2 linked regions of the Macaca mulatta genome follow. Each later gene encodes a partner of the first gene's protein in a complex. Links are inferred from orthologs where the notes say so. Each region holds a gene or a part of one and is shown on either strand. Other genes may lie near its edges. The genes, in order: MAPK10 and SH3BP5.

What was found.
Region 2: the proteins of MAPK10 (region 1) and SH3BP5 are in contact, whole or in part, in a crystal structure (PDB 4H3B), measured with the Homo sapiens proteins. The link is inferred for Macaca mulatta from reciprocal best matches to the Homo sapiens genes MAPK10 and SH3BP5. Residues at the interface, in NP_620448.1 of Homo sapiens: Lys121, Asp150, Ala151, Gln155, Val156, Met159, Leu161, Glu164, Arg165, Tyr168, Tyr171, Val197, Lys198, Ser199, Asp200, Cys201, Trp362, Asp364, Glu367; in NP_004835.2 of Homo sapiens: Val341, Val342, Arg343, Pro344, Gly345, Ser346, Leu347, Asp348, Leu349, Pro350.

What each region holds. Positions count from the first base shown.
Region 1 is NC_133410.1:95,407,704-95,423,704, reverse strand, and holds part of MAPK10 (mitogen-activated protein kinase 10), read left to right. Parts: intron 1-1,395; coding exon 1,396-1,525; intron 1,526-5,512; coding exon 5,513-5,571; intron 5,572-6,710; coding exon 6,711-6,849; intron 6,850-7,536; coding exon 7,537-7,702; intron 7,703-10,181; coding exon 10,182-10,253; intron 10,254-16,001. UniProt on the Homo sapiens protein: Serine/threonine-protein kinase involved in various processes such as neuronal proliferation, differentiation, migration and programmed cell death.
Region 2 is NC_133407.1:33,146,514-33,162,964, forward strand, and holds the start of SH3BP5 (SH3 domain-binding protein 5), read left to right. Parts: upstream 1-8,535; 5' UTR 8,536-8,713; coding exon 8,714-8,851; intron 8,852-10,559; coding exon 10,560-10,622; intron 10,623-16,451. UniProt on the Homo sapiens protein: Functions as a guanine nucleotide exchange factor (GEF) with specificity for RAB11A and RAB25. Inhibits the auto- and transphosphorylation activity of BTK. Plays a negative regulatory role in BTK-related cytoplasmic signaling in B-cells.

The sequences.
Region 1 (16,001 bases):
CATTTCTATTCTCAAAGCTGCCCAACAATAGAAAGAGCTGCTTAGATACAATGATTTCCATGTTTTTGGAGATGGGCAAACAGAGACTGGTGAAAGTTTTCATGGACGTAGTTTAGAGAGGAATGAATGTTAAATGGAAGTATGGACCCGGTGAACTCTAAGACTTTTTTCAACCTTATTCTGTGAATCTGTCATTTTCTTATGGTATAGCAATTCCGTTTCTGGCTCCGAGTTCTGTGGCGTGAGCTTTCAGTGGTCAATGTTACTTCTAATTTAGTAGATCAGTTGTAGTGGATTCTGGTTTTGCATTTCCTCCTGACAACTAAGATAAAACCCAGCAGAACTCAAAGTTTCAGGGATGGGTTACTTATTTTGTGAGTGCATCATTAGGTATAATGGCAAAAAGAGCCTCTCTCACTTTCTCCTTTGATCTCTAAACTTATGTATTCTACATATGAGAGAAATAGCACCAAATATTTAGATTGCTTTTTCAAAGCAACAGTGTAAAAGCACCCCTATTTTCAAAGCATTGTAAATGTTCATTCTCGGTGTGAAAGCTTCACATATGAATAGCATTTATTTTTGTCTTTGTATTTAAATGCAGTTATTTATGTTTCTAAAATTTCCTGATTGCATTTCTTATTTTGAGCTTTGTTGTTGTTAATGAGAGTACACTTTGATCATCAGCCCACAAGTGCTTTTATGGCAATTAACATCACACCTTAAAAATTGGTTCTTAGTTGGGTGCCATAGTATGTGGCTGTAGTCACAGCTACTAAAGAGACTGCGGCAGGAAGATAGCTTGAGCTCAGGAGTTCAAGACCAGCCGGGGGAATATAGCAAGACTCTGTTTCTAAAAAACAGTAACAAACAAACAAAACACCTGGTTCTTGTGAATGGGTATAGAAAAAAATGTTGATTTAAAACAACCAAAGAACAATGAAGTTTTATAGCTATAAAAAATTAAATATCATATATTAACAGATGAGAAATTCAAGCTCAGAGGGATTAAATGACTTGCTATAGTCTCATGACTAGTGGGAAATTTGAATGTCTGTCTTACTTCTTATTCCACCAACTTACTGAGGCAATTATATTCTATATTCTTGGCAAGATCTTTTTCTTCTCCTTTGCCCTCTTCTCCTTCTCCCCTTCTCCTGTTTCTCCCTTCTCCTTCACTTCCTTCAACTCTTCTTCATCCTTCTAGCATGTAGAATATTCTTATACAAGTCACTTATATCTTTACTTACAGCCTGATTGGCATGTGACCAGAGTATACAAAATCTGAGTAAGATTCCAAAATAGCATTTTCTTTACCTGTGTCCTTAGTCAAGTAGGCAAGAGTTCTAAGGAATCTTTTGCTCTTAATTCTGAGTTGCTCTTGGATCTCTACAGTGCCGCGTATGATGCTGTCCTTGACAGAAATGTGGCCATTAAGAAGCTCAGCAGACCCTTTCAGAACCAAACCCATGCCAAGAGAGCGTACCGGGAGCTGGTCCTCATGAAGTGTGTGAACCATAAAAACGTGAGTTTTGTTATTTTGAAAATTCTGGCGGTGGGAGTTTGTGAGATTGGAAAAAGAAAATGTGTCTGTACTTGAGTAAGAAAGGCTTTCTTTACTTTGCAATTCCTGCCTCTTAAGGTTGTTTATCCTGCCAATATGCTGCATTCAATTTCATTGTCCTCGTGGTAGCTTTCTGCTTAAAAATCACCTAAAAACCATATGATGTGGAAGTGCTGAATTTTATAAATATTTCCCTAGTTAGAAAATTTACCATATTTGGTTATCTTGCTCCAAATTGAGAGCTTCATGCTTTCCAAAAAAGAAACAAGACAAGCAAAGCCAAAAGCCAGGAAAAAAAAAAAAAAAACCCTACAAAGCACCATGCTATATTTCTTTATAATTTAGGTTTAATTTCGATTTATAAGTTAGATTTAATTGTTAACAGTTGAGTTTTATTCATGTTATCTCCTTTTAGTTTCAGCTGTAGTCTGGTGGTGGCCTCTAATTGTTCAGTGAATCCACTGTGTGTTGGCATCTTATTTTTTTCAGGGATGGGCAAGTATGCAGGTACATATTTGCAAAGCACTTGAGAATGGGATCAAGAGCTTTTTCTCATCAGAACTCAGCTGGGTAGACCATTAAAGGACTTTCTTTACTTCAGAATCTAAGCTCCTTCAATCACAGGCCAAGACCTCTAGAATTCATTCTGTGCTCCACTTGTTCCTAGTAAAGATAAATAGGAGAGAATTCATTATTTTAATGAAAACTTTTATTAATAAATAAATTATAATAAATACATTGAATATATTTTACATATAAATACATAATAAATTATAAATAAAATTTTATTTTCTTAAAAATAAAAAAATAATTTTTTTACAAGTAAAATCATTCTAAGGTTGTAGAATACCTTTGTAGAGTTATCTCTACAAAGTTCTTATGTATGAAAATTACACAGAACACATTACCAGCGTGGTTTTATAAACCAGGTATCTTGTCCATAATGCTCGCCATCTACAAGTAGCACTGAGAAGACACAAATGTATTAGTATTAAGTTGAAAGATACTTGAAATGCAAATATGCAGATCTGAGCCCCATGACAGTATTTCTCTTTTCCTCTATTCCTCTACCCTGATGACTTTTTAATTCAGTCACTTGACGTATATGTGTTGAATGAATAAAATGTGCCAGGCACAGATCTAGATGGTGAAGAAAACAGACAAATCCCTGCCCAGGTGAAGCTCATGCTTTATTGGCAAGAGCAAGGCGATCCACAATAAGACAGGTCAATGTGTAAAATGTCAGGTGATGATAAGTGCTATTAAGTAAGGCAAAGCAAACAAGGAAGATTTAAAAATACTGGTCAGTGTGTGGTGGGATAGGGTTACCCATTTAAATAGGCCAAGCAGCAAAGGCCTTACCAAGAAATTAAAATTTTATGAACTGCACACCCATATCTAATATAGCCATGCAACAAACATGAGACTTCTAGAAAGGAATATAGAAATGATAGAAAGGATGGTTCCTATGAAGAGTTATATACTAATTTGTTCTTTCAGTATGTTAAATAAAGGTAAGTGCAAGGTTAGCCACATGATCAATGCAATGTATTCTGTTATGCCAAGGAGGATGGAGCATAACATTGGCAATGGAAAATGGATGGATATAAGCAATGAATCAAATGTATGGAAAGTTTTCCATACATGTATTTATATTTCCCTCATCCTCATGCCAGACCCTGTAATGCAATACAATGTGGAGAAATGCCCACTTGCTTGGTCAGTTTGAGAGAATAATACTTCCCGTTCTTGACTGAAATTTTGGAGACTTATATTTATGAAGCCTAAAAAAGAGTTCCAGATTGCAGTGATAATTTATAAATAGCACCCCACCTGCTACCTTCCTTTTATGTGTGTATGTATGTATGCAGAAGTCTGCGGAAACACATTTCTGGAACTTTTTATGAAGAGGAAATCCACTACAACCAAATGTAAATTCCACATTAATAAGAACTCTGTTAATAGTGTGGAAAGAAAAGGAAGAGTAAAGTAATCTCATTAAATCTTTAATAATACGAAGAAAATCTATTTAGAAAATACTTCTTTATGGTGTTAGTTTGGTCGCCTGTTTTCTGTATTTATTATCAACTGAAAATTAGATTAAAATTGTTATTTAAAAAAAAGAATATAAATATTCAATTCTAGGAACTAGTGGGGCCTGACAAACACGGATTTACATCCGTGTGTCTGAAGATGCTGGGATAAAAGAACTGAGATTCCTCTCTGGAAACTGTTGAATTAAAATGGAAACTTTATAGCTGTGATAATCTCCTTCTACAGAGGCATTTTTAAAATTGGCTCTTGCTAGGAATTAGAATTTATAAGACAGCAAAGGAAGGCTAGAGGAGAACTTCTCGAAGGGTGAAAAGTGATAAAACAAGGTCATAGGAAAAGGGAAAATAAGAACATACAGTAGGGAATAGATCTTGATAAATTATCTTTTAAAACAATAAAACTTGATTTATTTAAAATTGTAATGCTATTTTCTAGATTTCTTAGATTATCTGGATTATTTGTTCACTAGTTGATCTGGGTTAGCATTTATCCATTGTTAAGGAGTGTTCATGTGAATGTTTGTGGGGGGGAATGTGTGCTCTATACACAATCGCTAATGTTTTTGTTTGAACAAATATCAAAATGAAATAAATTACTTTATGAGATTGATAAAGTCCTAGAGAAACAGACCCACTGTAGATGTTACAGTGAAAGATGTACTTCATAGGCAGTTTTCAACACTCACTAGCACTGAGTATACAGAATAACATGGCACTTTAATCACAAGTTTTAAAGATAATTTTAAAACAATTTTATTTCTATATGAATATTTCACACTGAAAGGTTGCTTTAGAAAAGATGATTTTTTAAAAAACTATATGACAACCATTGCCATATATATGTATACTAGAAAATATTGGATGGTACTATGATTATTTTTTGTCAACAATTTCTCAATAAGTTAAAACTACATGAGACATAAAACATTCCATAGAATTGAGTCAATTTCTCAGGTGTTTAATTTCATTTTATGTTTATTACTCCATATGTCTTTATATCATTTATAGAGTTTACTGAAATTCATTGATTGATGCTTTGAAGCTGCTTAAATCTTGACCTTGTACTTATCTATTTTTTATAAAATAGTTGCAACTATCTTGTGAGTATAAGATTTGTATCTGTATATTTTTATATTCATTTCCTGCTGGCACGTTAGTACCAAATATTTAGCTGGAAGAACATTTTGAGTTATTGATCTATGAACTCTATTTGGAAATGTGACAAGGGGTTTTTACAAAATTTGCTTATGCTAGAAGGTAGATTTCTTTACTAGCTAATATATAAAATAAAGCAGGAAACAAAAAGCTTCTAACTGAATGCAGAAAACTTCTAAATAATTTTCTACTAAATTCATCATTGATACCATCTAGAATGCACCTTTCCCCACACATATTATTGGAGCATTAGTTTAATATTTGAGGGTGAGGTAGAAGTAAAAAAATATAAAGTAACAACACAAAAAAGTCATGAAGTAGAATACGACTTTGTTCATCTGGAGGAGAAGTATCCCCTTGCTATGTTTCGCACAGTGTTTTACTGCCACCTCTCTTCTCACGCCACATTTCTTCCTTTTTTGTTTAATCCCCCAAAGGCCCATATTCTGCCACGAGGAATCACACTTGAAAGCAGTGGAACAATTATGCATCTCTCTGATTCTTTCTTCTGCCCAAGAATTGAGCTTTTTAGCTGCATTATTAACCTGAAGACAGATCATCTGTTCTTTCTGAGTATACTTTTCTGTGTCCTGTGAGACAGCTCTAGAAATTTTTCCAATTTCTCCATTTCCACCATAGCATTAGTGAGTGACTTTGAGTTGAAATAAAATTTAAAAATAATACATTCTCTCTCTTTTTTCTTTCTCTCTTTTCCTCTGTCCCTTCCGCTCTCTTTCAGATTATTAGTTTATTAAATGTCTTCACACCCCAGAAAACGCTGGAGGAGTTCCAAGATGTGTAAGTAACAAAACTCATAAAGGAAGGGAGAGCACAGCACTTAGATAGCCCAAGGGAATAACACACACACACACACACACACACACACACACACACACACAGAGTTGAAATCCCTTGTACTGATCAAAGAGAGGTAAGAGGTGGGGTCAAATGAAAGGGGTCCAGTGATAGGTCAAGAAGATTCTGTTTGTGTGTGGAAAGACATTCTGCCTCCTTTTGACCTTGTGGCTTTATATGCTCTGTTGTTCCATACTCTTGGTCACTCAGGAAAGGCTTATTTATTTATGATTATTAATAGATTCCATGAACTTTCTACAATGAGTTAATTTACCTGAAGAAATAGTAATAAGGCTAGGCATGCTGGCTCACGCCTATAATCCCAGCACTTTGGGAGGCCAAGGCAGATGGATCACGAGGTCAGGAGATCGAGACCATCCTGGCCAGCATGGTGAAACCCCCGCCTCTACTGAAAATACAAAAATTAGCCAGGTGTGGTGGTGTGCACCTGTAGACCCAGCTACTTAGGAGGCTGAGGCAGGAGAATTGCTTGAACCTGGGAGACGGAGGTTGCAGTGAGCCGAGATCGCACCACTGTACTCCAGCCTGGGCGACGGAGCGAGACTCCATCTCAAAACAAACAAACAAATAAAAAGAAATAGTAATAAAAGGGACATGAAAATTATCTTTATTCTTTCGATCTTTGTAGTGTCATTGATTTTGTGCAACGTCTACCCAGTAATGACAACAGATGGAGGAGAGGAAGTGATTCCCTAGTACCTTGTCCTTAACACAGATACATTGAATTTAGGAAGAAGCTGTTCTGAATTTTTTTCTTATTTAAAATTATAATACTCACAAAAGAGTTGAGGGTATACAGGGGAAAGTGAAGGCAAAATTAAGGTTAAAAACTCTATGGACACAAACCACACACTAATAAATACTTTTTCTACTAGCAACCTTGTGGTAGGGTTTGTATAGCTAACACACATGCAATACCTGGAAATTCTTAGTCTTGATTCAGTCAAAGGCAGAGCTAAGAAGTTCAGAAGACTTACAGAGTTAGGAGAGAATTCTGACTAACTGAAAGGACTTCATAGATCTCGTGACCTGGAACTAACATTGTGGATTTACCCTTCTAGTTACTTAGTAATGGAACTGATGGATGCCAACTTATGTCAAGTGATTCAGATGGAATTAGACCACGAGCGAATGTCTTACCTGCTGTACCAAATGCTGTGTGGCATTAAGCACCTCCACTCTGCTGGAATTATTCACAGGGTAAGAACACCTTCTCTAGGATTACAATTCAAATGCTTTAAGAGAAGAGGAAGAGTAACTGTAGATTATTTTCTTTATACAGGGGGCATTGGTCAAATATAATATACTTCCTCATTTCTTTGATATTGGAATTGGCACCTAGTTCACTAATTGTAGAAGGAAATTCTAGTAGTTGAGTTTGTTCAATGTTATGTTTTTGGCTCATTGAGATGCAGCTTCTTAGAAGCCTCATGCTTTCAGCTCCTTGATTGGCAGAAGTCATATGTGCAACTGAAATCCATAGTTTGTTTCTGGCAGCATAAAGACAGCTGCCCTGATCTGTTCTTCTGTCAGGCCTAGAAATGATATATATGTTGAAAGATTTATGTTGTCCTAAGGAGAAATGTAACAGAAGACAATCAATGATACATTTTTTTTTTCTAAAACCTCATCCCAAGATCAGTGTAAATTGTGAAAATGATAATACAATTTTTTTCTGGGATTAAAAAACCTTCTGAAGATTTTTTTTAATCCAAAAACTAACAGTTAACTTATTTGTAGCAGTAATCGTTTGCCTTGTTTAGGGCTCTGTAGGTCAGGGGGACCTCATCAGTGCTACTGCAAGATTGCTATGTTGATTGAGTCAATGGAAATAACATGTTTCACTTGATACTGGCTTTTAATTTTTTCCCTTATCCTTATTGTTAGGATTTAAAACCAAGTAACATTGTAGTCAAGTCTGATTGCACATTGAAAATCCTGGACTTTGGACTGGCCAGGACAGCAGGCACAAGCTTCATGATGACTCCATATGTGGTGACACGTTATTACAGAGCCCCGGAGGTCATCCTGGGGATGGGCTACAAGGAGAACGGTAGGGATGCTTCTGGAGAGCAGCATCAAAACCGTGAATAAAATGGGTGCATGTTGTAGATAGCCAAGGGGAATGTTCTCTTTCATGTACATGCTTTTATAAGGTAGGGCTGCCAGATAGCATATTCAGGGTGTTTTTTTTTTTTTTTTTTTTTTAATACTACTGGTAAGAAACACTCATTAAAAATGTGAAGGATGTTATTGACAAGTCAGCTTTGCTAGAAGAGCACTAAATGTTAATAGTGAAAAAGAATTGTAAATGGAGTCTGATTAAACAGTCAAGTGGATGCTGATTAGCACACGTGCCTAGATATTGAGAAAAATTGCTATTTGGGTTGCAGCTCAGCTGAGCATGAGTGTGAAAGCAGGAAGGAATCTACCGCATTTAGCCATTTGGCTTTTATGTCGTATCTCAGACTGATGGCTGTATTTCTAGAAAAAGACAAGCAAAAATGTGACACAAATCCTGGGAGTGAAAATCTTCACAGACAACTTTGAAATAATCCAAATTATTTAAATTGAATAAGAATTTCTGTAATAATTTAAGTTGCTCTGTAAGAAATATTTAGAGTAGCAATTGCCTAATAAATTCTTATATATTCCAAAAATCATAAAAAAGGAAAATGTCAAATTTGACACTACTGCTTTCCTAAAGAAAATCTAATATTCATGAACACTTTAAAATGAAATGAAGGCTGTGGAAGGAATCTTAAAAATGTATTACAATTGAGTGTTGTTGATTAAAACTAAGGATTTATTAAATATCTATTAGAAAGCACTGCAATGTATTATTTTGATGAGACTATATCTTACAAATAATGCACCATATTGAAAAACATATTCAACATACTTAGGAATTAAAATAGTTTTAAATTAGGATTGTAGATGTATTCAATGTATCTTAAATATTTATTTTCTATTCTATTCTATTTAGTTTTAGCAGTCTATTTTAATAAGCTCTATAAAAATAATCAGGGTATTTTTATGTTCAGGTGCTACAGGGTACTTTTGTGAAAATTCCCTGGCCACTGAAGTTTGCAGAAACTTCTTTGTATACTCTTAGATTAGAAGACAGATAATATATGTATGCATTTATACAGAGGAAGTTGAAAAGTCACCTCTTACGAAGGTCAGCTTCACCCTGGTGGGCAATGTCAGAGTTCTGGCACCTTTTGACTCAGAAGAGATGAATCTAGTCCTCCTCACTAGGCAATACCACATCTAATTCATTCAGAAAAGAGGACATTTTTATACTTTCTTCACAACTTATTTTTAAAAAGTCAAAGGAGAAACAAAGTCAAGAATCAAGAATGTACAGGAGACTGGGGTGGGGGAGAGGATCTGAATTTGCCTATTCGGGCTTTTCAGATCTTGGCACTGCAAATAGCTGATATTAAAATCCCTTTCCCTTTCCTCACTAGAAAGAATTGCAAGTCGCTGCCTTAGGTTTTCGACTTCTCTAAGTCCATGGAGGAGGCCTGCCTGGCACCCTGGTGCTGCCCTCCCCACCAACGGGTGGAAGGTTATCATGCAGAAAACCTGCTTGCTCCCACATCAGGCATGCCCTGCTGTCCCCTGCACCTAGCCCCGCCTTCCTTCCCCACGGAACAATTCAGCCAAATGATTCTGCCCAAAAGTTCCCTTTGTCCACAATAAAAAACAAGTTGGAAAGGGATAAAGATTGGTAAGAGAAGGCAAAGCATGTTTTCCTAACAAGTTTGACAATTTGGAAATAAATATATGTATGTAACAATTTTTAACACATTTAATACTTTTTTCACTTTCCTTCCAGATGACTCCTTTATACATGTGCTAATTCATCATATGTCCTTTTTCTTGAAATATTTCGAATGGAAACTAAAACTGATGTTTATTTACAAGAATAAACTTCTGAAGGAAAAGCTAAGTCCCAAATACCAGGAATTGCAATTCTTTTGCCTCTAAACCATGGTTCCAGTTATTTCCTGGTTTCTTGGATTTGGTTGAATTTATCTTGTTTTGTCCCTGCCCCTGGCCCCCTGAAAAAAAGGTGGCCTCTTGTTGCCCTATTCTCTGTAACTGAATAGAAGAGAAAGTGAAAATAGCCACCTCTACAAGTTAATATCGTTTTCTCTGCATCCAGAAAATGACACAGAAAACCCTTTGGTGGCTTTTAGCTGTCACCTGCCATGGAGATACTTTTGGTTTAGCTATTGCTTTTCTCTGTTACCAATGTCACCACTTTGTGGCACTACTGAGAGGCAATGTCCAGAATCCACAAAGTAATGGTTTTTTAAACATTAATTTGAGTTCTAATACTAGACACCGTTTATGTAATAGCGTAGTGTTGGTTTTAATTCACCTTTTGGCCAACTTTTGGTGGGAGGTGAAAATTGTACTTTTAATCAAACTGTTCTTTTTCCTCCTCCTTCAGAAGTCAATTATCTTAGTTAACTTTACTTTCCTCCCTTTTCTTCACTACCCTCTCTCTCCTGTTCTAGTGGATATATGGTCTGTGGGATGCATTATGGGAGAAATGGTTCGCCACAAAATCCTCTTTCCAGGAAGGGACTGTATCCTTGTACCTTTTGCTACAGCTTTACCTGTTTTGTTCTCTCTCCCTTTTAAACACATAATGATTTTACCAGGAGAGTAAAGATAGAAGCAAAAAGTTGGGTAAGTGGTGTTATTGTAATAAAAAAGTGATGATTTCTATAATCTGACCAGTACTGAAGACTACCTACCACAATGATTTCTTTTCATTAAACTTCAATAGGCTTTTTTCTTCTAAAATTACTTTCTTGCCTGCAACTAAAAATAGTAATGCTATTTTCCTTTAATAACAGAGGCCACCAGATCCCAAATGATTAAAATATATTTACCTTTATAACTAGAAAAATAAGTCACTATTTGCGAGTCATTTTCCATCTCCTTTCTAAAACTATTTTGTGCTTCTACAATATTTAGGCATAAAAGTTGCTCTCCTTGCTGACATTCTAAGCTTCTGTCTATGGCTTCATTGATTTAAACTACTCTTGACACTAAATCAAGTCTTTAACAGGTCAATATATCATATCCTCCTCAAAACATGAACTTCTGCATTTAAAAATTGTAATTATTGTTCAAGTTGCTGGTGGTCAGGTGAGTTTAATGTAGACTTCCCTCACCTGACTTGGAGATGTGACATAGACATACATACTTGTTTTCCCAATTAAATTTATAATTTCATAAAGCAATTTTGATTTAAGTTCTACTACTGAGTCCTGCAATAGAGTCCATCAGAAATTTTCCTGTAGAGCTATCTATGATTTGGGATTATCAAATGGACTGATACATTTCTTAAATGGCCATAAGTTAACTCTCTAGTAAAGGTACAGATTTGTGTTTGTAATATATAGACAATAAAGTTTACATATAATAGTAGAATATATTTTTAAAAATACAAAAATACCTTACTACATATACTAGTGCAAATCTAAGTACAACCACAATTGACAACTTTAACAACTACAATACAGGATTGAATTTAGTGTATTTATTACATATGGATGTTTTGGAAATTGGCAATAACCGTGTGACCCATAACTCTATTAACTATTCTATTGGATTGATAAGAAAATTTTATTAAGGAATCCTTTTATTATGTAAGAAATGTTATGATTTTTTTATTTAGGTATTTAAAAAGTCCAAAAGCGAAAACCAAACACAAACAAAAAAATGACTCAACAAGAAGTGGGTACCATAATAAGCTTGTATTTAGGTAGACATTTATTCATTCTGCTGGATATTAATGAGATAGTCTCGAAATTCCACTAGTAATATAAGAGTAATGACATATTCTAGAACTGCACTGTCTAGTTGGTAGCCACTAGCCACATGCGGTTATTCAGCACTTGAAATTATAACTAGTCTAAATTAAAATATGTTTTATATGTAAAATGCATACCAGATTTTGAAGATATTTTTAAAAGCATGTAAAATATATTATTAATAATCTTACATAGATTATGTTGAGGTGATGGCATTTTGAATATATTGGATTAAAGATATATGTTGTTAAAATTAAACTCACCTGGTTTTTATTCTTTTGAATGTGGACATTAAACTTAAAACTACATATGTGATTGGCATTTGTGACTGTCATTTTTCTATTAGACAGTGCTGGTCTAGAAGATAAGAAAACTGCATGGCAACCATTTATTTATAACGAATCTCAAGGTCTTGAATCTCTGTTTGCTCCATGTTCCTTTCCTATATTTAGTGTGAAGTATTATTTTCACCATTAGATTTTATATGGCTACTTAGGAAAATTTATTTCATTTTAAATTACTTATCTATAGTTTGGGGATTAATTATATGCCTAGTATAGTTTATTTGAACAAATTATAATGCACATTCATATTTAAATGTGCTGACTTTATTCAAAAGTAGGAATTACTCTCTTCATGCTTTTGTCTTTGGTATATAATACATTTTAGACAAAGAAGGAACCTCTCAATCAATACTCAGAGTGAATTGCACGGCCATATCTCTTTAATGTACTTGTCAGTGGAAAGCAAAAAGCCAGGATTTCTCATTTTCATGTGACATTTTGTTACATGTCACTTGATTTCACATAGCGAGGTTGTCCTTTGAGATCTTATTTAGCTCTTCAGGCGTTTATGAGGATTGCTTTTCTTCTATTTTGACAGTATTAAATTTAAAAGCCAATAAAAAAGAAAAAAAGTAAAAAGTTTTAAACTCAATCTAACCCTTCAGAAAAACAAACAAAAAATAGCACCATATTGATAATTCTATTTTCTTTTAAAAATTTTTCTCTTGGAAGCCGCCCCCCACCCCCGCTTTTTATCCTAGTTTGTTTTAGAAAAATTTTTGGAGCTGAAATTATTTGTGTGAAAATTAATACATAACATTTATATCCTTGATATGTATGAACCTAGACATTAAAATAATCTCTAATACAAATAATGTAGATTATAATAAAGGTTTTCATTCATTATATAATGTCTGTATTTCTTTATCTCAAGATGATGATTACATAGTACAGCAGTCTTTAATAGCCTAGTGCCATATGTGATAATGACCCTGCAAGTGGACCTAGAAGTTAAAAAAAATTGCATAAAGACATCTACAATGGAAAGCCTTTTGCTTAAGTTAAATTTTACTGAAAAATCAGTAGGTATTTTCCAATGAAATAGGTTAGAAAAAAATGTTTCCTTTTTGAAAATGTTTCCATTTGGATTTCTTAGCCCCTTTTACCTATAATTAAAATTATAACTTAATGTTTAAAGTTATGGTTATATTTAAAAAAATAAACCTATAGAAATTTCAGTTAAATAATGTGCTTTGTCAATTTTGAGTGGAATTGTTTTATTAATCTTTAAGTGAAATTATTATCATTTTATGCACAGGGCTTCCTAGCAACAACTGAGCAGTCAGATAACCTCTCAAACTGTGACTATCAGACACAAGGCTGAGGGCTGATTCAAGTTATTTATCGGCAGAAGAATTACACAATTTTAAGCATGTTGAAATTACTCTAACATTTATTAGAAGAAATAGCAAAGCTAAGTATATGCTAATTGATACCTTGATCTCTTCCAAGATTCTGCAGAAATTTCAAAAAGCAATCAGAGGTTCACATGTCTTTCACCTGGAATTATTCAGAGTAATTTATATTAAATTACTTTGAGGCTGAAAAATGATGTGATAATGCTATCATAATAATCAACATTTTTCTTCTCTCTTCACAGAACTTTTAAACTTGAACCCTAAGCAAAAATAGTTAAAATGTCTTGATGAATCAGAGAATCTCATGAAATTGTCATTGATGACTGAAGTTTAACTACTTTCCCACATTCAAACTATCTTTGCATTTTGAGAAACATTGTGGGGGTTTCTTGGTGGTTGATATGATCTAGATGATATCACAGGGAATTGTCTTGGTTACTAAATTAGAGTGTTGGCAAAATAAAATTGAACAAAATAAACAATACATATTTGCTTTTCTACCTATTAGTTTGCTAATTATTTTAATATCCAGAGGATCACTTCTTAATACTTATTTTTCTTGTGTAAAGTATTTCTTAGTTATACATACACTATCATATACTTAATTTTCACTATAGTTTTATGATTAAAACATTTCATAGCATATATTTTTACAGTGTAGTTTATTTGAACAACATTATAATGCACATTCATATTTAAATGTCTTACTAAACATTCTTTAAACATACTTAAACCCATGCTGACTTTCAAGTTAGAGAGTAGTAAATATGCCAAGTCAATTTTTTTATGTAGTCCAAAGAACAGATAAAAGAAATCAATGACTTTAGCTTCACTCAGATTTTGTTCCTTTCAATAAAATTTACAGGAAAGCAGTTTTACAATGCTTCCTTAGAAGTTTTTTCTAAGAACTATCCAGTCATTGACTGCCTCTACCATCCCAAACCCCAACCAGGGCATGCCATCTTGTTGATTATCAAAGACTCCTATTGTCCCAGTAGAATTTTCTTGAGTCCTTTCCTCAAACCTGCTTCTTTTAGATACATTCTTCAACCTTATTTTTTCCATTCTACTTCAAATGGTAGCACCTTCTTTGAGCAAACCCTGTGATGTTCCTTTATCTAAGTTCTTGGCCAATATTCTCTGGATATAAAATTAAAGACAGGCACGCTGCACACATTTGAAAATTCTAGACCTCAAGTATATTATATCCAAAGCTAACAGCTGAACTGCTAAAATAGCTCCTCTTGCCTTTCCCTCTGAAGAACAAGAAATTGCAATTAGAATGAAAGAGATATACACATAACCTTGCCAGGGATCCAAGTTATTAAGGAACAGGTAAATGGTTTTCCAAAAATATATTTGAAGAAATAAGAAAAACATCCTCAAATTAACTGAATGCTATATCTTTTTAAAGTTTGAATATGAACATTAGGAAGGATCAAAGTAAAATGAACAAATTTGTGGTTACAGATTGTTATATCCATCTAGCACAGAGATACTTTTAAATTCTTCTTACCTCTTTGAAATGATAGTGCTTAATTGCTAATAAACTTTTGCAACTAACAACTTACTATACAGTCTAACTCTGTTTCTTAGAATTAAGACAATACAGGGTTATTTCAAACAATATAAAATTTATGGCTTTAAATAAAGTTAGGATGAAAAAATTTAGTAGGCATTCTTTCACATCTCTAAACAAATTGCACATAATTATAAACATATATTTAAAAATAAAATTATTATTTATTTGAATTTGTTTAAAAGAATACATTTTGACCACTAGTGTGCCTGCTGCTTTTCTCTTTTATTATTATTTTATGAAAATTCAAGACAGGATTCACCAGAATGGAAGCTGGAGATTCCGAGGTTGTAAAGAAATAAAAGCAAGTTTAATAGGTAGAATCAAGGAGAAAGTCTTTTTCTGATTTCTTGGCATTACAATATTTAGCGTTAAGTTTTGTGAATTGTTGCTTATTTATGTTTATGTATGTCAGTAGTCTTTTAGAATTCTATCTTTGAACTGAAGTTTAATACAAGGTCCTTTTGTTAAATAACTAAATTTAAGACTTAGTTAACTAATTTTAAAAGAAATGCTCTAACTTTATAACTGATAACTTTGTAACTTACAATTTTTATAAAATTATAACAAATAATTTTCAAAGAAATGTTCTGATTTTAGAAAACGATATTAATTCTTCATGCTATTGTGTGTGGAGTCATTCATTGAAAGAAAATTTGTCTAAATTCTACACTAAATGAAAATATACTTAGGTGTGTTAAGGAGAAGTCTCAGAAATTGTGACAGAAGAATTACATAATCCCCTAGAGAGGAAACATTTTCCAGGATAGAAGCTCACATAGTCCAAAAATTATTTAATCGTGGATCATGATCTAAGCTATTAGACGGAGTATAGAAGTAGCAATATAGTTCTTTATTTATTTAGATTTAACTTCCAGGGCTTACATTATATCATTTCTGTCTCTTGGTTAGAAGTAGGAAAAAAATAATTTAGTATAAGCTAATTTCTGACAAATAATATGACATGAGATGTTCAGAGGTCTTCACTCTGAAAATTAACCATATTTTGGTAACACCAAAACTTACTCAACATTTCTTCTAAGGAAAGTGACTCAGTATCTGAGTGTTACAATTGCAAGTGAATCTGCCTTCTGCCTATGGGAATGATAGAATGATGATGGAAGAATGTAATGAATCAGAATTTTAAAAGCCACCAGAATTCTACCTTGGCAGCATTAGTGTACAGAACTCTTATAGAGATCCAAATGCTGTATCGTATTGTCTCAGAAAG
Region 2 (16,451 bases), on another chromosome or scaffold:
CGAGATTTCTCCATGTTGGCCAGGCTGGTTTTGAACTCCCAACCTCAGGTGATCTGCCCGCCTCAGCCTCCCAAAGTGCTAGGATTACAGGCTTGAGCCACCACACCCGGCCTATTTTTTTTTTTTTTTTTTTTTTGAGACAGGGTTTCTCTCCTGTCACCCAGGCTGGAGTGCAGTGGTGCGATCTTGGCTTACTGCAACCTCTGCCTACCCACTTGAAGTGGGTTCAAGTGATTCTCCCACTTCAGCCTCCTGAGCAGCTGGGATTACAGGTGCCCGCCACCATGCCTGGCTAATTTTTGTATTTTTAGTAGAGATGGGGTTTCACCATTTTGGCCAGGTTGGTCTCAAACTCCTGACCTCAGGTGATCCCAAAGTGTCGGGATTCCAGGGTGTGAGCCACCATGCTGGCCTATGTTGCTTTTTTATGTATTTAACCATTGGTCTGTCTTCCCTTGGACTATAAGCTCCACTAGAGCCGAGGCTTTGTCTCCTTTGTTCACTGTCACATTTTCACTTGCCAGAGGCTGGCACATAATACATGGCCAATAAATACTTGTCAAATAAATAATATAATTTCTTATATTATATATAAGAAATAATATAATTGAAATTAATTTATTTGAAATTAATATAATTTCAAATAAATATAATTTCTTATATTTTTAAAATACAAGAAAAATTTCTTAACATTATTTTAAGTTTTATCTTCCAGAGTAAAGTCCTGATAAATACCTTTTTTCACCATTTAATAGGGAATTTTGGCTTCCTTTATAAGTGAATTTATTTAAGTGGCCTTTTCCTGGACTATTTATCTGGATCTATCTTGCTTCTTTCCTTCCTTAGATTTCTTAGACTAATAAACCATGGAATAAGGAAGTGAGGGCTGTGCTGACATGATTTGTTCTTGGTTAACCTGAGCTGGGTCATGGTGATGAGTCATTTTTCTTCTTGGGACACAGAAGTACCCTCTCCTCCTTAAAATCCATTCTAGAATAGTGTCTGCAAAATGTTATGCTCATTGGTTTGCAGAGTATAGAACTTTCTTTCTTCTGTTTCCCCCCCTTTTTTTAGCAAGGGCCATCACTTCAACAGGATCTTTCTTCTTCTTTTTTTTTTTTTTTTTTAATTTTTAATGGAACACTTCCCAAATTTGCATGTCATGGTTGTGCAGGGGCCATGCTAGTCTTCTCAGTATAATTCCAATTTTAGTATACGTGCTGCTGAAACAAGCACTCTTTCTTCTTTTTATTATTTATTTATTTATTTATTTATTTATTTATTTTTGAGATGGAATCTTGCTCTGCTGCCCAGGCTGGAGTGCAGTGTCGCCATCTTGGCTCATTGCAACCTCCGCCTCCTAGGTTCAAGCAATTCTCCTTTCTCAGCCTCCCTAGTAGCTGGGACTAGTTGCATGCCACGGTGCCCGGCTAATTTTTGTATTTTTAGTAGAGATGGTTTTACCATACTGGTCAGTCTGGTCTCAAACTCCTGACCTCAGGTGATCCACCTGCCTCAGCCTCCCAAAGTGCTGGGATTACAGGTGTGAGCCACCACACTCGGGCTCTCTTTTTAATGGAACACTTTCCATCTCCAGGATTCCAGCACCATCCTAAATATCTGTAGGTCCTCTAAGACTACAGATAGACACCGAAAATCTCTTCCCTGGGTTCTCTGTGTGCTGTGGCCTGTAATTCATCTGAGTCAAGAGACAAGTTTAATTCAATTTAGACACAAATAAAGGTTCTCATTAGAGGGAAGTGGCCACATTGGAAGACAATTTGGCAACACACTGATGTCACTGAATCACTGAATTAAACAGATGCCTCTTTAATGTGAAGGCTCTGCTCCCTTTCAAAGAACTGGCTTCTATAGACCCTTGAATTCTTAGAACCAATCATTTGGGGTCAAAAAATATTGTTGAAGGGTTTATGGTCTACCTTAAAATCCTCTTCCACCTTGCTGTATGCCATCATCCTTAGGGGTCGCTGGGAAGAGGAGAGTCGGCAGGAAGACCTACGGAGCCAGCATTCCGGCAACACCGTACCATGGGGGGCTCTGGGGAGAGGTCAGACATTTACCTGTGCGTGGCCTGCCATGTGTAAGTGGTCTGCCAATAGGATTCTGAGGTTTATTTGTGATTACATGCCATCCTAAAGGGGCCAGCCAGCCACTCCTCCCATCTCCTCCATACTCTTGCCAATCAGAGATGTCTGCATTTTCATGTTAGATCACTGTTTTCATGTTTAGTTTTTTTTTTTTTTTTTTTTCCAGGGGACCTTGCTAGTGCAGGGGATGGGGGTGGGGTGTGGTGGCTATGCGCCCATGCATGAGTCCCTCCCCACCCCACGCTGCTGCAAGCCTCCTTCATGTTAGTTTTAACTGCTGGCTCAAATTTATAAAGGCTATGTCAGCCAGGCAGCACATGCCCCAGGCCTGATCCCATCAGTCGCTTCCAGTTTGCAACCTCTGACCTAAGGTGCCACGTAAATATCACTGGTGGAGAAAGAGGGTATGCTGGTTGTCAGTTTCTTCTGACATTGACACCAGAGTGTGATGTGAATGCAGATTCATTCTTAGTCCAGACAGCAGTTTCTGTTCTAGGAGTTAACAGGTAGTTACAAAGCATTTTTACTTTACTTTACTTTATTTATTTAGAAACAGGGTCCCTATCTGTTGTCCAGGCTGGAATGCAGTAGTGCAGTCTTGGTTCACTTCAGCCTCAACCTCCTGGGTGCAAGCAATCCTCCCATCTCAGGCTCTGGAGTAGTTAGGACTACAGGTGCACACCACCACACCCCCTAACTAATTTTTGTATTTTTTTGCAGAGATGGGGTCTTGCTATGTTGTCCAGGCTGGTGTTGAACTCCAGCTTCAAGTGATCCTCCCACTTTGGCCTCCCAAAGTGCTGAGACTGCAGGTGTGAGCCAGCACACCTAGCTCACAAAGCATTAAAAAAAATGGTGTTGCAGGGAATCTTAATTTAAATGGCATTGAAGTTTGACAGAAAGAGTCTTAACTTCACAATGAGGGATTCATGTGGCTGCTGCTTTGGGGCACCTTTTTTTTTTTTTTTTTTTTTTTTTGAGATAGGGTTTCACTCTGTCACCCAGGCGACAGTACCATGGCACTTTCTTAGCTCACTTCTGCCTCGAGCTCCTGATCTCAAGTGATCCTCCTTCCTCACCCTCCTGGGTAGTTAGGACTATAGGCACGCACCACCACACTCCGCTGATTTTTAAACATTTTTTGGTAGAGGTGTGGGGAGGCTCTTACTATGTTGCTCAGGCTGGTCTTGAATTCCTGGCCTCAAGCCATCCTCCTCCCTTTGCCTCTCAAAGTGCTGGGATTACAGGTGTGAGACACTACACCGGGCCTGGGGCCCAGGTTTCATGAGGGCCTGTCTCCCCAAGTAAAAGACTAGGAATTTGTCATCTACATGTTTGGGACCCTCAAACTGGCCCTGGAAATAGTGCATGCATATAGTAGGGGCTGAAAAGTGTACTGAATTAATGTTGCTTTCTGCAGATCTAGATCTAAAAACAAAAAACAAAACAAAAATACAAATGAATTAATGTTGCTGACCACTTTCACTTGCAAACTTCACTTTAAAAACGTTAAATAAAAACTCTTGGCCGGGTGCGATGGCTCACGCCTGTAATCCCAGCACTTTGGGAGACTGAGGCAGGTGGATCAGGAGTTCAAGATCAGCCTAGCCAACATGGTGAAACTTCATCTCTACTAAAAATATAAAAATTAGCTGGGTGTGGTGGCAGGCACCTGTAATCCCAGCTACACAGGAGGCTGAGGCAGGAGAATGGCTTGAACCCAGGAGGCAGAGGTTGCAGTGAGCTGAGATCATGCCACTGCACTCCAGCCTGGGTGACATAGTGAGACTCTGTCCCCCGCAAAAAACAAACAAAACTAAAAAAACCCCAACTCTTTGGCTGAGCATGGTGGCTCACGCCTGTAATCCCAGCACTTTATCTTAGCTACTGAGTACAGGTGCAAAGTAGTAAGACCGTGGGATTGAACCAGGGTTGGGATTATGTCAAGTGCTTACCGTGGTCATGGAGAAGCGTGAGGGAGTTGTGGTTGGCTGCAGCTGTGGTGATTTTAATGATGGACAATGGAATCTAAGCTAGATCAAATGGGAAGTGTGGACATAAGAGGGTGAGGGACTATAAAAGAGTCTAGGGAGCCATGATGAAGCCCTGAATCAAGGGTTAGAAAGATGGAAATGATTTGGAGACTGTACTGTTGGAAAATCCACTCGTCCTTGCTGACTGGGTTCATTGGGACTCTCAAACCACAGGTGGGTCATCAGCACAGCCTTGCAATTATAATATATTCCCATGGTCAACTCAGTCACCAACTCTCCTGGCCAGCTCTTTCACAAAGCCTCTCTCCTCCAACCTCCAATGCCCTTTGCCCTCCATCCCCTCATTCTCAGCTGATGACGTGGCTCATTATTTTGCTGAAAAAACAGAAGCAATCAGAAAAGGCTGATCATCAGGCTAATGGATCTCCTTTGTCTCTTCTGACCCTAGCTCCTCAATGTCCACCGAGTCAATTTCTCATACACTAGCCAGAGTTATTATATGAGCACTCACTCAGAACAAAATCCAAATTCCTTACCATGACCTAAAGCATCTCCATGGTCTACCCACATGCCTGCCTCTGATTTCATCTCCCTCCCTGTCTCCCTGGCTGTGTCCGTCCTATCCACATGGATCTCCTTGCTTTTTTTGCCAACACCCAAGACATATTCCCACCTCAGGACCTTTGCACATGCTGCTTCAGTCTCTGGAGTGTTCTTTCCCCAAAAGTATATGTGGTATGCTTTCTCATTTCTTTCTCTTTTTTTTCTGAGACGGAGTTTCACTCTTATCACCCACGCTGGAGTGCAATGGTGCGATCTCAGCTCATTACAACCTCTGCCTCCTGGGTTCAGGTGATTCTCCTGCCTCAACCTCCAGAGTAGCAGGGATTACAGGCATGAGCCACCACACCTGACCAGTATGCATTATTTTAAATTTATCTTTAAATTCCACAAAACAATAATAAACATATCCTTTTTGTGAAAAATAAAAGCATTACTGAGAAACGAAGTTTCCTTTGATCCCCTGCCTCCATCCAAGCCAATCCTAGGCCACTCCCTGCTCCCTTTTTCCCAGAGGTAGCCACTCTTTACTGGGTATAAATCCTTCCAGGCCTTTTGCTATGCATTTATGTGCACTACATATGTGCCAATAGGGAATATATCCAGTTGTCCCTTGATTTCCCTGGGGATTAGTTTCTGGACCCCTGTAATGCTAAAATCTGAAATGCTTACATCCCCTGTAGAAAATGGCAGTCTTTACATGTAACCTACATACAACCTCCTGTATACTTTATTTATTTTTTCATTAAAAACATGGTTTTTTTGTTTGTTTGTTTTTTGTTTTATGAGATAGGGTCTCCCTCTGTCACCTGGGCTGGAGTGCAGTGGCATGATCAGGGGTCACTGCAGCTTTGACTTCCCGGGCTCAAGTGATCTACCTCAGCCTCCAGAGTAGCTGGAACTACAGGCATGTGCTACCATGCCTTGCTAATTTAAAACAATTTTTATTAGAGATGAGGTGTTTTTTTTTTTCTTTTCTTTTTTTTTTTTTTGAGAGAAAGTCTCACTCTGTCATCCAGGCTGGAGTGCAGTGGCACCATCTCAGTTCACTGCAACCTCTGCCTCTCAGGTTCAAGTGATTCTTCTGCCTCAGCCTCCCGAGTAGCTGGGATTACAGGCGTGCACCACCATACCCGGCTAAGTTTTGTATTTTTAGTAAGACGGGGTTTCACCGTGTTGCCCTGGCTGGTCTCAAACTCCTGCCTCGGCCTCCCAAAGTGCTAGGATTACAGATGTGAGCCACTACACCTGGCCTAGAGACGAGGTCTTGCTTTGTTGCCCAGGCTGGTCTCAAACGCCTGGCCTCAAGTGATCCTCCCTCCTGCCTTGGCCTCCCAAAGGACTGAGATTACAGGCATGAGCCACCACATCTGGCCCCTCCTGTATACTTTATTATTTATATATTTATTTATTTTGAGACAGGTCTTGCTGTCACCTAAGCTGGAGGGCAGTGGTGCAATCTCAGCTCACCGCAACCTCCGCCTCCTGGGCTTAAGCAATCTTCCCATCTCAGCCTCCCAAATAGCTGCAACTACAGGCATGAGCTACCACACTTGGCTGATTTTTTGTAGAGATGGTGTTTTACCATGTTGTCCAGGCTGGTCTTGAACTCCTGAGCTCAAGCAGCCCACCTGCCTCGGCTTCCCAAAGTGTTGAGATTACAGGCATGAACCACCATGAGCAGCCCCTCCTGTATACTTTAAATCATCTCCACATTTCTTACCTGCAATACCTAATACAATACAAATATGTACATAGTTCTCATATACTGTATTTTTTTTTTCTTTTCTAGAGAGAGAGCCAGTCTTGCTTTGTTGCCCAGGCTGGTCTGGAACTCCTGGCCTCAAGTGATCCTCCTGCCTCAGCCTCCCAAAATGCTAGGATTACAGGTGTAAGCCACCACTCCTGGCCATGTATTTTTAAATATGTATTTTTTTAATTGTTGTGTTTTTTTCCCCCAAATATTTTCTATCTGTGGTTAGTCGAATTTACACATGTAGAACCTGAGAGGCTGTGGAGGGTTGACTGTATATAGTACTGCCTGTGTTTTATTTGTTTTTCTTATTTTAGCTTTAGAAACACTATTGGGATTAACACTATAGCTGGTCCAGATCTCCAAAAAATAAGACAACAGAAGTCTGAACTGATGTTCTTGAGCAGTTGGCCTATGTCTCACAGATACATTTTGCTCTTGACCTAAGCTGAAGCAGGAATGTAATTTGGAGTTTGTCATTTGCGATGGAGAGGATGGGGTTCTGCTAGCTAAGAAGCATTTATCATAGTCAGGGCTGACCCCAGAGGCCTCTGTTTATTTCAAACTCTGTCTCTCAGTTTATTCAGAGCTAGGATGTACCTGCAAAGTTGGAGGCTCAATTCCAAGCCACCAGGGAAGATTGGTGGCTCCTGTGTTCCAAAGTGACCCCTATGGCTATCTTGTCCCTGGCTTCGTCTATCATTGGAAAACCAAAAGCAACTATGTCTTTAGCAAGGAACTTTGAAACACCTCTCACAGAATTGCTGACTCATCCTTGATTTAAAGAGCAATGAGCAGGTCTGACCTTTTTAGAAACAAACCATGGCACTACCTCCAGAAAATAGGACAATTTTCCTTTGACAGTGGACTATAGTGCCAGCGTGTATGGGGTGGTGCCTTTCCCTAGGAGTAACCCTCTAGCCTACTTTTTGATAAAACCACCAGAAGCAGGACTATTTATTTATTTGAGAAGGTGTCTGGCTGTATTGCCCAGGCTGGTCTTGAACTCCTGTCCTCAAGTGATCCTTGTATCCTGGCATCTCAAAGAGCTGGGATTACAGATATGAGCTACCATGTCGTGCCAGACACAGGTTTTGTAAGGTGGTTTTGATGATAGGTTCTCAGAAAGAAGCTCCATTCTCAAGCAAATTTGTCCACCAAACTCAGAGCAGATGGGCTACAGGCCTCCGTGTAGAACATGTGCACGTTCTGCATTTCTCAAAGGAAGGAGATGTGAGCAGCTATGTGCTCACCTGCTTTGCCAAGGTCATCCTTTGGGTTCCCCTGACATCACAGTGGCCCTGACATTTCATAAAAGCACACACATGCCTCTTCAGTTTGGTCTTTTCGGATGCTGTGTCTGCCAGGCCAACTCTGTCTCCCTACTTGTTGATGGTGGGCAGGAAGTCTCACTAATTCATAAATTCTTGGCCAGAGTGTGCCCATCAACAGGGGTTACACTTGCCACCTCCTTAAAAAGGCTGTGTCTGCCCACAGGCATCCCAGCTCAATGCATTCTCCATGCTTCCTGGCTATTCAGGTAGGACCGCCGCACCTCTGTGTTTGGTACGGGGCTCGCCCAGAGAGGCCGCAGCCTTCGGCGATGCATCCGTGCACGGAGCTGCAGCTGGCTCTCCTCTCTACACTCCTGTGTCTATATAAGCGCACATTTTAGTTTGCTTTTCTGGGGAAATCTTTGAGTAGGTGCCATTCCCAAGGTTCGCTCAAGGGGAGGAATGTGCCTTTGGGTACAGGGTTTCGGCAAGTCTTGGTCCTGAGGTCCAGGGTCACTAAGCCCAGGCTTCGGAAGGCGACTTCAGCGTGAAAACACCCCACGCCTCCTACCACACACAACGCGCTTCGGAGGAGGGCGGGAGAAGGGGACTCCCGAAAGCGGGAGGCTTGCGTTACGCAGTTGAGATATATCCGGGCTGCTAAGTTACAAGGGGGTGGGGGCTCTCCTAATTTGCCACCTTGGAGATGTGGAGGGAGCTGGGGTTTTGTGACGGAGACCTGGGTAGCTGGGACTGGCCGAGGAGCGCGCGGCCGGGGCGGGACGGGGGCGGAGCGGGCGCTGCGCTGACTGCCGCGGCAGAAAGGGGGCGGCCGCGCCCATTTCCTCTGCTCCGCCGCGGCCAGAGGGATCCGCATCGGCGAGCTGTGCCTCCCGGGTGTCGGCCCCGGCGGCTCCCTGATCGTGCCCGGCTGTGGCGAGGCGGCTCCAGCCCAGCCTGTGGCGGCCGCTACCTCCAGGGCGCTCCGGAGCCCACTGCGCGGCGCGCGTGGCGACTGCCCGCATGGACGCGGCACTGAAGCGGAGCCGCTCGGAGGAGCCAGCCGAGCTCCTGCCGCCTGCACGGGACGAGGAGGAGGAGGAGGAAAAGGGGATGGAGCAGGGGCTGGAGGAGGAAGAAGAGGTGGATCCCCGAATCCAGGTAGGGCGCGCGGGGTCACCCCGCATCCGGGCTTCGCGAGGGCTGCTGCGGAGGTCGGCGTCTACGCGTACATCCACTTCGCAGCCCCCAGTGACTGTGGTCTGGGGACTGGCGGCCACATACGGTGGCAGGAGACGATCTGTATGCTCTGTTTCATCGTCTCCACAATGAGGAGGCTACAGTGCCCGCGTGGATGCGGCCTGACTCTATTGCGGGGAGCCCCCCGCAGACCCCTAGCAGGATCGGGGTCGCCGCAGAGTGCCTGGTGGTTCGGGCGGATGTGCAACAAAGGGAAAAAGGGGGCGGGGGCGCCATGGTATCCTCGGGGGTACCCCCCGCCCGGCCACCACGGCACCGCGGGCAAGGCATGGCCTCCAGGCTCTGCGAGGAGGGGTCGCCCGCGTGGGCGCCGGGCACCGTAGGCGGGTGGGCGTTGCCCGCCCCTGCAGCGCGGGCTGGCACTGGTGCCCCGGGTGCAGAGTCCTCACCTGCCAAGGTGCCCGGCCTGAGCCGTTTTCCTTCTCTGATTCATTGTTAGAGAACTGAGCGTCTTACTGTCACCACCGGCTCAACGTTCCGCCTGGCCTGAAATTGCTTAAAACCCTGCTTTTCCTTGTTGTGAGGCTGGGCATGAACAGAAATCAGGGACAACTGATGCGCAAAGCTGACGCGTGGAGGCGGCGAGGGGATTGGGCTGGCTGACTGTGCCTCCATTTCCAAGAGAGATGATTAAAAAACAATTTCCAAGCCGAGATCTAGGAGTGACAGTTTAACCTCTTCACCCCGAAGCAAAAAGCAGAGCAGATCCCTTTCTAAGACCCGTTTTATTCTACCTTTTCAGTAAATCATTTTTAAAAAATTGCTTTTAAGCATGCTCTGTAATTTCTGGATCCCTAATTGGTTTTTTAGTGCACAGATCAATTTAAAAGCTCACTTAACTCAGTGGTTAGGGTTTAAATGAATTGTTTTGTCAGGTTAGCAAGATAAAGATCAGGTGGAAAAAAAAAACCTTGCATTAGGAATGCTATTAATTAAAATAATTGGTTTGGAATAAATCGTGTGTTATTGGTATGGGATTATGTTAGCAAGATCCTTTGTTTGCATAGTAAAGATGAGTTAAGTTCATGTTGGATGCTTTTTACAAAATGTCAGTTTGTAAATGTTTATTGAAATGAATGGGATTAAAGCTAGTTTAAAACATCCAGCTAAGTAGGTTGAATAATTGGCAGTGTGAAAAGATTTTCACCCTTTACAGAAAAATAATTCTGGTGAGTTAATACCAGAATTCTGCCCTTGATGATTTCACTGGGTTTATATTTTTGGCCTGGCCTTGCTTATTGTCTTTTATTGTTTTCTAAGCAAAGTTCTTGCTCAAGGCAGATGGTGCTGTTTTGATGAGGCCATTAAACCATTTGTAACAGGTGGGATTTACCTGAAGGCACATACCTGGAATATTTGACCTCTGACAAATTCCAAATGTCTCTGAAGACATTGTCAAAAAGGATACCCTCAAGAAAATGGTTTCAGAAATGCTGACATTCATTTGCTTTTCTAGCTAAGCCTCAACTGTTTGCCTTAAGAATTAATACCAATTCTTCCCTTTTCCTGCAAACTGGGCTGGGATAATTTTTCAGGTTATGGACTGAGTTATATTGGAAACAAAAGACGGATCCCGTAAGTCTTTTTCTCTCCCTCTTTTCTTCACCAGGGAGAACTGGAGAAGTTAAATCAGTCCACGGATGATATCAACAGACGGGAGACTGAACTCGAGGTACAGAGAGCTGAGTTCCTGTTCTTGGTGAAGTGATGTCACTCACACCGGCACAAGGCTGGTTAATTTTGTCTTCATAGCTGGAGGGTTATTGCTGGACCCCCCTCCTTGGGAGTTGAGCAACAGCTCCCTGACAGAATAAAATACACCACTGAGCTCAACCTGTGGGCGGAACGCATGTGGATCCAATTTCACATGTTGTTTTTCATTATGGAAGCTCCATGGGGCCTAAATCAAGTCTGTGCAGAGCGTTACACAACGCCTAAGCCCCAAGTTTTCATGTGACTGAAAGGATAGAGAGGAAAATTAGCTGAACTCTTTAATGAAGAATAATGAATGAGCTCACAAAATCTCTTACATGTTCAGGGCGGTTCCTGCCATTTGTCCTGGAAAGGTTGTGTTGTTTCCTCTGACTTCGACCATTTCTTGACTTTCCTGTCCTAATAACTCACCCCCACCTTCTGCTTTCCTGCTCATTTCTTTATTGTCTGCTTGTGCATAGAATATAATTATAATGGTAACAAAAAGCTGTTTAGACTGGAAAGGCCTTTCCTACTGGGAAAAATCTTGGAAGACTAAAACTTGATTTAGGTTTCATGTGCATTTTCCAACCGGAGTGTAAACAAGTTAGCATTCATCACAGCCTCTGATTAGTTTCCACCCCTTTCCAGTAGTGGTTGCTTTTACCACCCATCAGCAAATTTGAACAACCACTGTATGTATTCAGGAGACTGAATTGACTGTCAGAGCCTGGAAGGGACTCTCAGCGCAGCTTCCCAGTGCAGGGAGCTGTTGGCAAAGTCTGTTTCTGTAGCAGGAGAAATAGCAAAAGTCAGTGGAAGGGACAAGAAGCACATGGTCCCTAAGAGTGAGGGTGTGGGAGACAGGAATATAATCTGCCAGGATTCACAGGCAGCCTTGATTTCTGCTGCATGCGTAGGCCCTGGAGTTACCAAATCTGGATGTAGCAATGTGGATTAAAAAGTCTGTTGCTCTGAGCTGTGTGAAGGGTTATCGCTCACCACCTCCATTTCCATCGTAGGTGTACAAGAACACGGGCTGTCCTTCTCCCTAAGTGAAGTAAAATCTAGTTTATTTACATTTCTTTCACTTATGAATTGAGTCTGTCTGTGATGTGCGGTAACCGAAACCTCTTAGGATCTCAGATTTCTAATGCATTAAACAACAAAACCCTTACCATTCCTATAGGGCTTTAGCATTTACAGACTGTTTTTTACACGTTTTATCTCATTCCATCCTGTCACACCAGCCTAGAGCTATGCTGTCCCATATGGTAGCCATGTGCAACGTATGGCTATTTGAATTTAATTAATTTTTTTTTTTTTTCGACACAGAGTCTAACTCTGTCGCCCAGGTTGGGGTGCAGTGGTGCGATGTCTGCTCTCTGCAACCTCCACCTCCTGGGCTCAAGTGATTCTCATTCCTCAGCTTCCTGAGTAGTTGGGATAACAGGTGTGTACCACCATGCCTGGCTAATGAGTTTAATTAAAATTAAGTAAGACAAAATTCTGTTCCTCAATCATAATAGCCACGTTTCAAGAGCCCAGTTGCCACTATATTAAACAGTCTAGTTGCCACTGTATTAAACTACTATCATCATAGAATGTTCTGGCCTGGAGAACCAGGAGGGGAGGGACTATTTGCTTTCCAGATAAGGACTCAGAGGCTTAGCATTTTGTGATGATGCCTCAGAGGCAGGGCTCCCATCTTATAGTCACAGGCATTTTCCAGATCTCCTCCAGTTCCTGCATTCTATTATCCCAGTGCAGTGGTGCAATCACAGCTCACTGCAACCTCAAACTCCTGGGTTCAGGCAATCCTCCTGCATCATCCTCCCTGGTAGCTGAGACTACAGGTGCATGCCACTATACCCGGCTAATTTTTCATATTTTTAAACTTTTTTGTAAAGATGGGATCTTGCTCTGTTGACCAGGCTGTTCTTGAACTCCAGGCCTCAAAGTGATCCTCCCACCTTGACCTCCCAAAGTGCTGGGATCACAGGCATGAGTTGCCATACCCATCCTGGAAATATTCTTCTTCCTACCCTCCCCCACTCTCCCCACCCCCCACACCAAGGCATTGATTGATTCTAATTGCTCGCCTACTATGTGCTGGCCACTGTTCTGGGTAATGAACAAGATGGCCCACATCTCAGCCCCTAGGGTGCTTACCTTCTTGGGGTGAGATTGGTTAATCTGTTAAATTCTTTTTAGCCTGACTTTTGAATCCTATTTCTGAATACACTTAGGTATTTGTGTGTCACAGGAAGCCACCGGACAGGTGTTTCCTGCTTGACTCTGGAGAGCATTTGGAGCCGTGTGAGAGGCCAACTGGAGGGTGTGAGGGGGGGTGGCCGGGGCTGGGCTGGGTTGCTGGCTGGCTTTTTCACGGTATTATAACCAAGACTGACTCATAGAAATATAATACGGGCTACATAAGCAATGAAAAACTCCCTAGTAGACACATTAAAAATGAAAAATAAACAGCTGAAATGAATTTAAGTAGTTTGTGTAACCCGGAATATCCAAGACAGTACAATTTCAACATGGACTTGCTATTAAACAATTACTGATATTTTACATATATTTTTATAGTAAGTCTTTAAGATCTTTGGCATATTTTACACTTAGGGCACATTTCACTTGAGACTAGACATGTTTCAAGTGTTAGTAGCTACATGTGGCACTGGGAGGCACAGGTTTAATAGGTGTTTCTGTCACAAAGGAGCCAGGTGGGATTTCACCCTTCACGATGGGCACCAGCTGCTTGTCAGATACTGTTGACCACTGCATTTATGTGGGTGAACGAGACAAAGACCTTGCCCTCCAGGAGTTTACGTTTTTGGTTGGAGTGAGGAGCAGAGAGGGGGTAATAATTACTGGTGGTAATAGCTACAGTAAGAAATGTGACAGACACTGGAGGGGCGCTGCGGGAGGACATCTGAGCAGATGCCTGCAGGAGAGCCCCTGCAGAGGAACAGGTAGAGTGAGCCACTGGGGTGGTCAAGGGGAGTATGCCCAAGGATAGGGGGCAGGAAAATGAGCCATTTTAATATACAGTCGAGTCTTTTGTTTTTTTCCCGCGACGGAGTCTCACTCTGTCACCCAGGCTGGAGTGCAGTGGCGCGATCTCGGCTCACTGCAACCTCTGCCTCCCGGGTTCAAGCGATTCTCTTGCCTCAGCCTCCTGAGTAGTAGCTGGGATTACAGGCGCCCGCCACCATGCCCAGCTAATTTTTGTATTTTTAGTAGAGACAGGGTTTCACCATGTTGGCCAGGCTGGTCTTGAACTGGCTGATCTTGAACTCCTGACCTCATGTCGTCATCACCGCCCCCCACCCCCGCCCCCGCTGCCCCGCCCCACCCATCTCAGCCTCCCAAAGTGCTGGGATTACAGGTGTGAGCCACCGTGCCCCGTCTTGTTTTTGCAGTACTTGTATTCCATAAAGTTGTGAACACTGAATTAGTGAATACGGAACCACTGTTGTAGGGAAAATGCAGGGCTCGGAGCAGGCCTGTGGTCACATCATTTTCATCAACTGATCAATATTAATCTTTTCAGTTTCCATTAAAAGACACTTTATTTACTATATACTATTGATTCATTAGCATTGAACTCAGGGCCGCTTACCTAACATGTATTTTCCCTGTAAGCCATATCACAGCCTGCTTATGCTCAGGAGTGCTCACAGACAGCACTTCGGCACTCCCCTTCTGGGCCATTTTTAACAGCAAAATCACCAAAGACAGCACAGAAGTGTGAAAGACATGGCACTAAGTAGACCATGAAAAGGACACTTGTTTACAGGCTGGGCACTGAAAGGAGGAGGTGGAGTGTCGCTCCTGCGCGTGTCGGTGAGTGAACCTGAAAGGGCTGCGTGTATTGATTTTGGGGTTACGTAACAATTTTAGTGAGTAGATGAATTCACAAGTATGGAATTGGCAAATAATGAAATAGTCTACTTTCAGGGACCCCAGGGGAAGGTATTTTGCTGTCCCCATTTCCTTTCCCTTTGCCTTTTGATTGCGATCTGGGGCATTCAGCACCTCTCATGGTTTTTGTCTGATGAAGCTGAATTGGTGACCAGGCTTGTGGTCGCTGCGAATGTGCTCACACACTGTGCCGCAGTTGTCCGTGGGTAGCTGTAGACCAGGGTGTTGCTCCTGAGGTCCACATTTAACACCCCATTTCTTGTCTTGGCTGTTTAAATTCCAGATTGCAAAGGGGCCTCTGGCAGCCGCCTGCCGTGTCACTTGGATGTCTGTCTCCTCCTGCAACCTGGGTTTGCCTCTGACCTTATTTTGAACAGTGTTGGGTCTCCTTTGCACTCTGATTTATATCAGCGAAAGCCAACCTTTTTAAGCTGTTAAAGGAGGAACCTTTTAACCAGAGAGGCCTTGGATATAAGCCTGATGTTTTAAGTTAGGAAAATAAACATTTTCCCACAGATCCAGTGATCCGTCAGCTTTATTTATTTATTAATGAGACAGGGTCTTGTTCTGTCACTCAGGCTGGAGTGCAGTGGCACAGCCTCGGCTCACTGCAGACTCTGCCTCCCGGGTTCAAGTGATTCTCTAGCTTCAGCCTCCCAAGTAGCTGGGACCAAAGGCGCACACCACCACGCCTGGCTAATTTTTGCATTTTTAGTAGAGATGGGTTTTGCAATGTTGGCCGGGCAGGTTTCAAACTCCTGAGCTGAAAGCAATCTGCCTCCCTTGGCCTTCCAAAATGCTGGGATTACAGGCGTGAACCACTGCGCCTGACCGGCTTTTTAATTCACTAAGTATTTATTGAGCACCTACTATGTGATGGGGCAGTTTTCGGTGATGGGGACAGAGCAGTGAAGAGACTGGACTGAAGTCCCTGCTCTTCCGAGGCTTACATTGCAGAGGGGGTGGAAAATGCAATAAAGAGTTAAAGTATGCACAGTAGGTTATCTGATGTATGCGAAGGAGGCAAAGAGCTGGAAGGGGACTCAGCTGGTGGGTGTTTGGAGGCAAGGGGAGGGAGAGGAATGCGGTATTATCTAGAGAGAGTGAGCAAGCCTCAGGCCATGTGGGGGAAGAACATTCCAGCTGGAGGGCGCATCTGTGCTAAGATGGGAGTGGGCCTGGCCTAGCTGAGGACCAGCAAGGGGGCCTTGTGCCAGGCTTGGGTGAGTAATGGATGGAAGAGGAGGTGATGAGTCAGAGATAAATGGGTCATTCAGGTGTGTGACAGCCCTGCCAGGTGAGGTAATAAAACTCAATATGCTGATGTAATTTTAAAATGCCTAGTATATAGGTCTCTTTTCAAATGTTTGTTAAAACAGATGCCACACTGAGAATTTCTAAGTCTAATCAGAATAAAGATTTGTAATATTTCATGCCCATATATATGTGGTTTTAAGCACAACATGTAGTGTTTTCATCATTTCCCGTGCTTGCTCTGAAAGTGGGCTGTTCCAGGACTGTGAAGGGGTCCTTTCTTTTCCTCGTTGGTCAGGTCAGGTGGGAATAGTTTCTGCTTATACTGGCAGGGTGGTTTGAAAAATCTTTGTTTCTGAGTGTCTGTGTTCCTCAAACTCGCTTAAGCCAGCACTCATTATCTCTGCCTTTCCTCCCTCCAAAAACCAGCAAATGCTTTCTCTTAAAAACAAAACCTAAAACTTTTTTTTTTTGGACCCAAGGAGCAATGGTAGAACCAAAATCTCTGTTTTGAGCTTAGAAACTTGGAGGTGAGGGTGAACTGGAAGCCACCTGGCCCTTCTCTCATGAATTATTAGCACAAATCAGGAGAAAAATTCCTCTATCAAAGGACAGTGATACG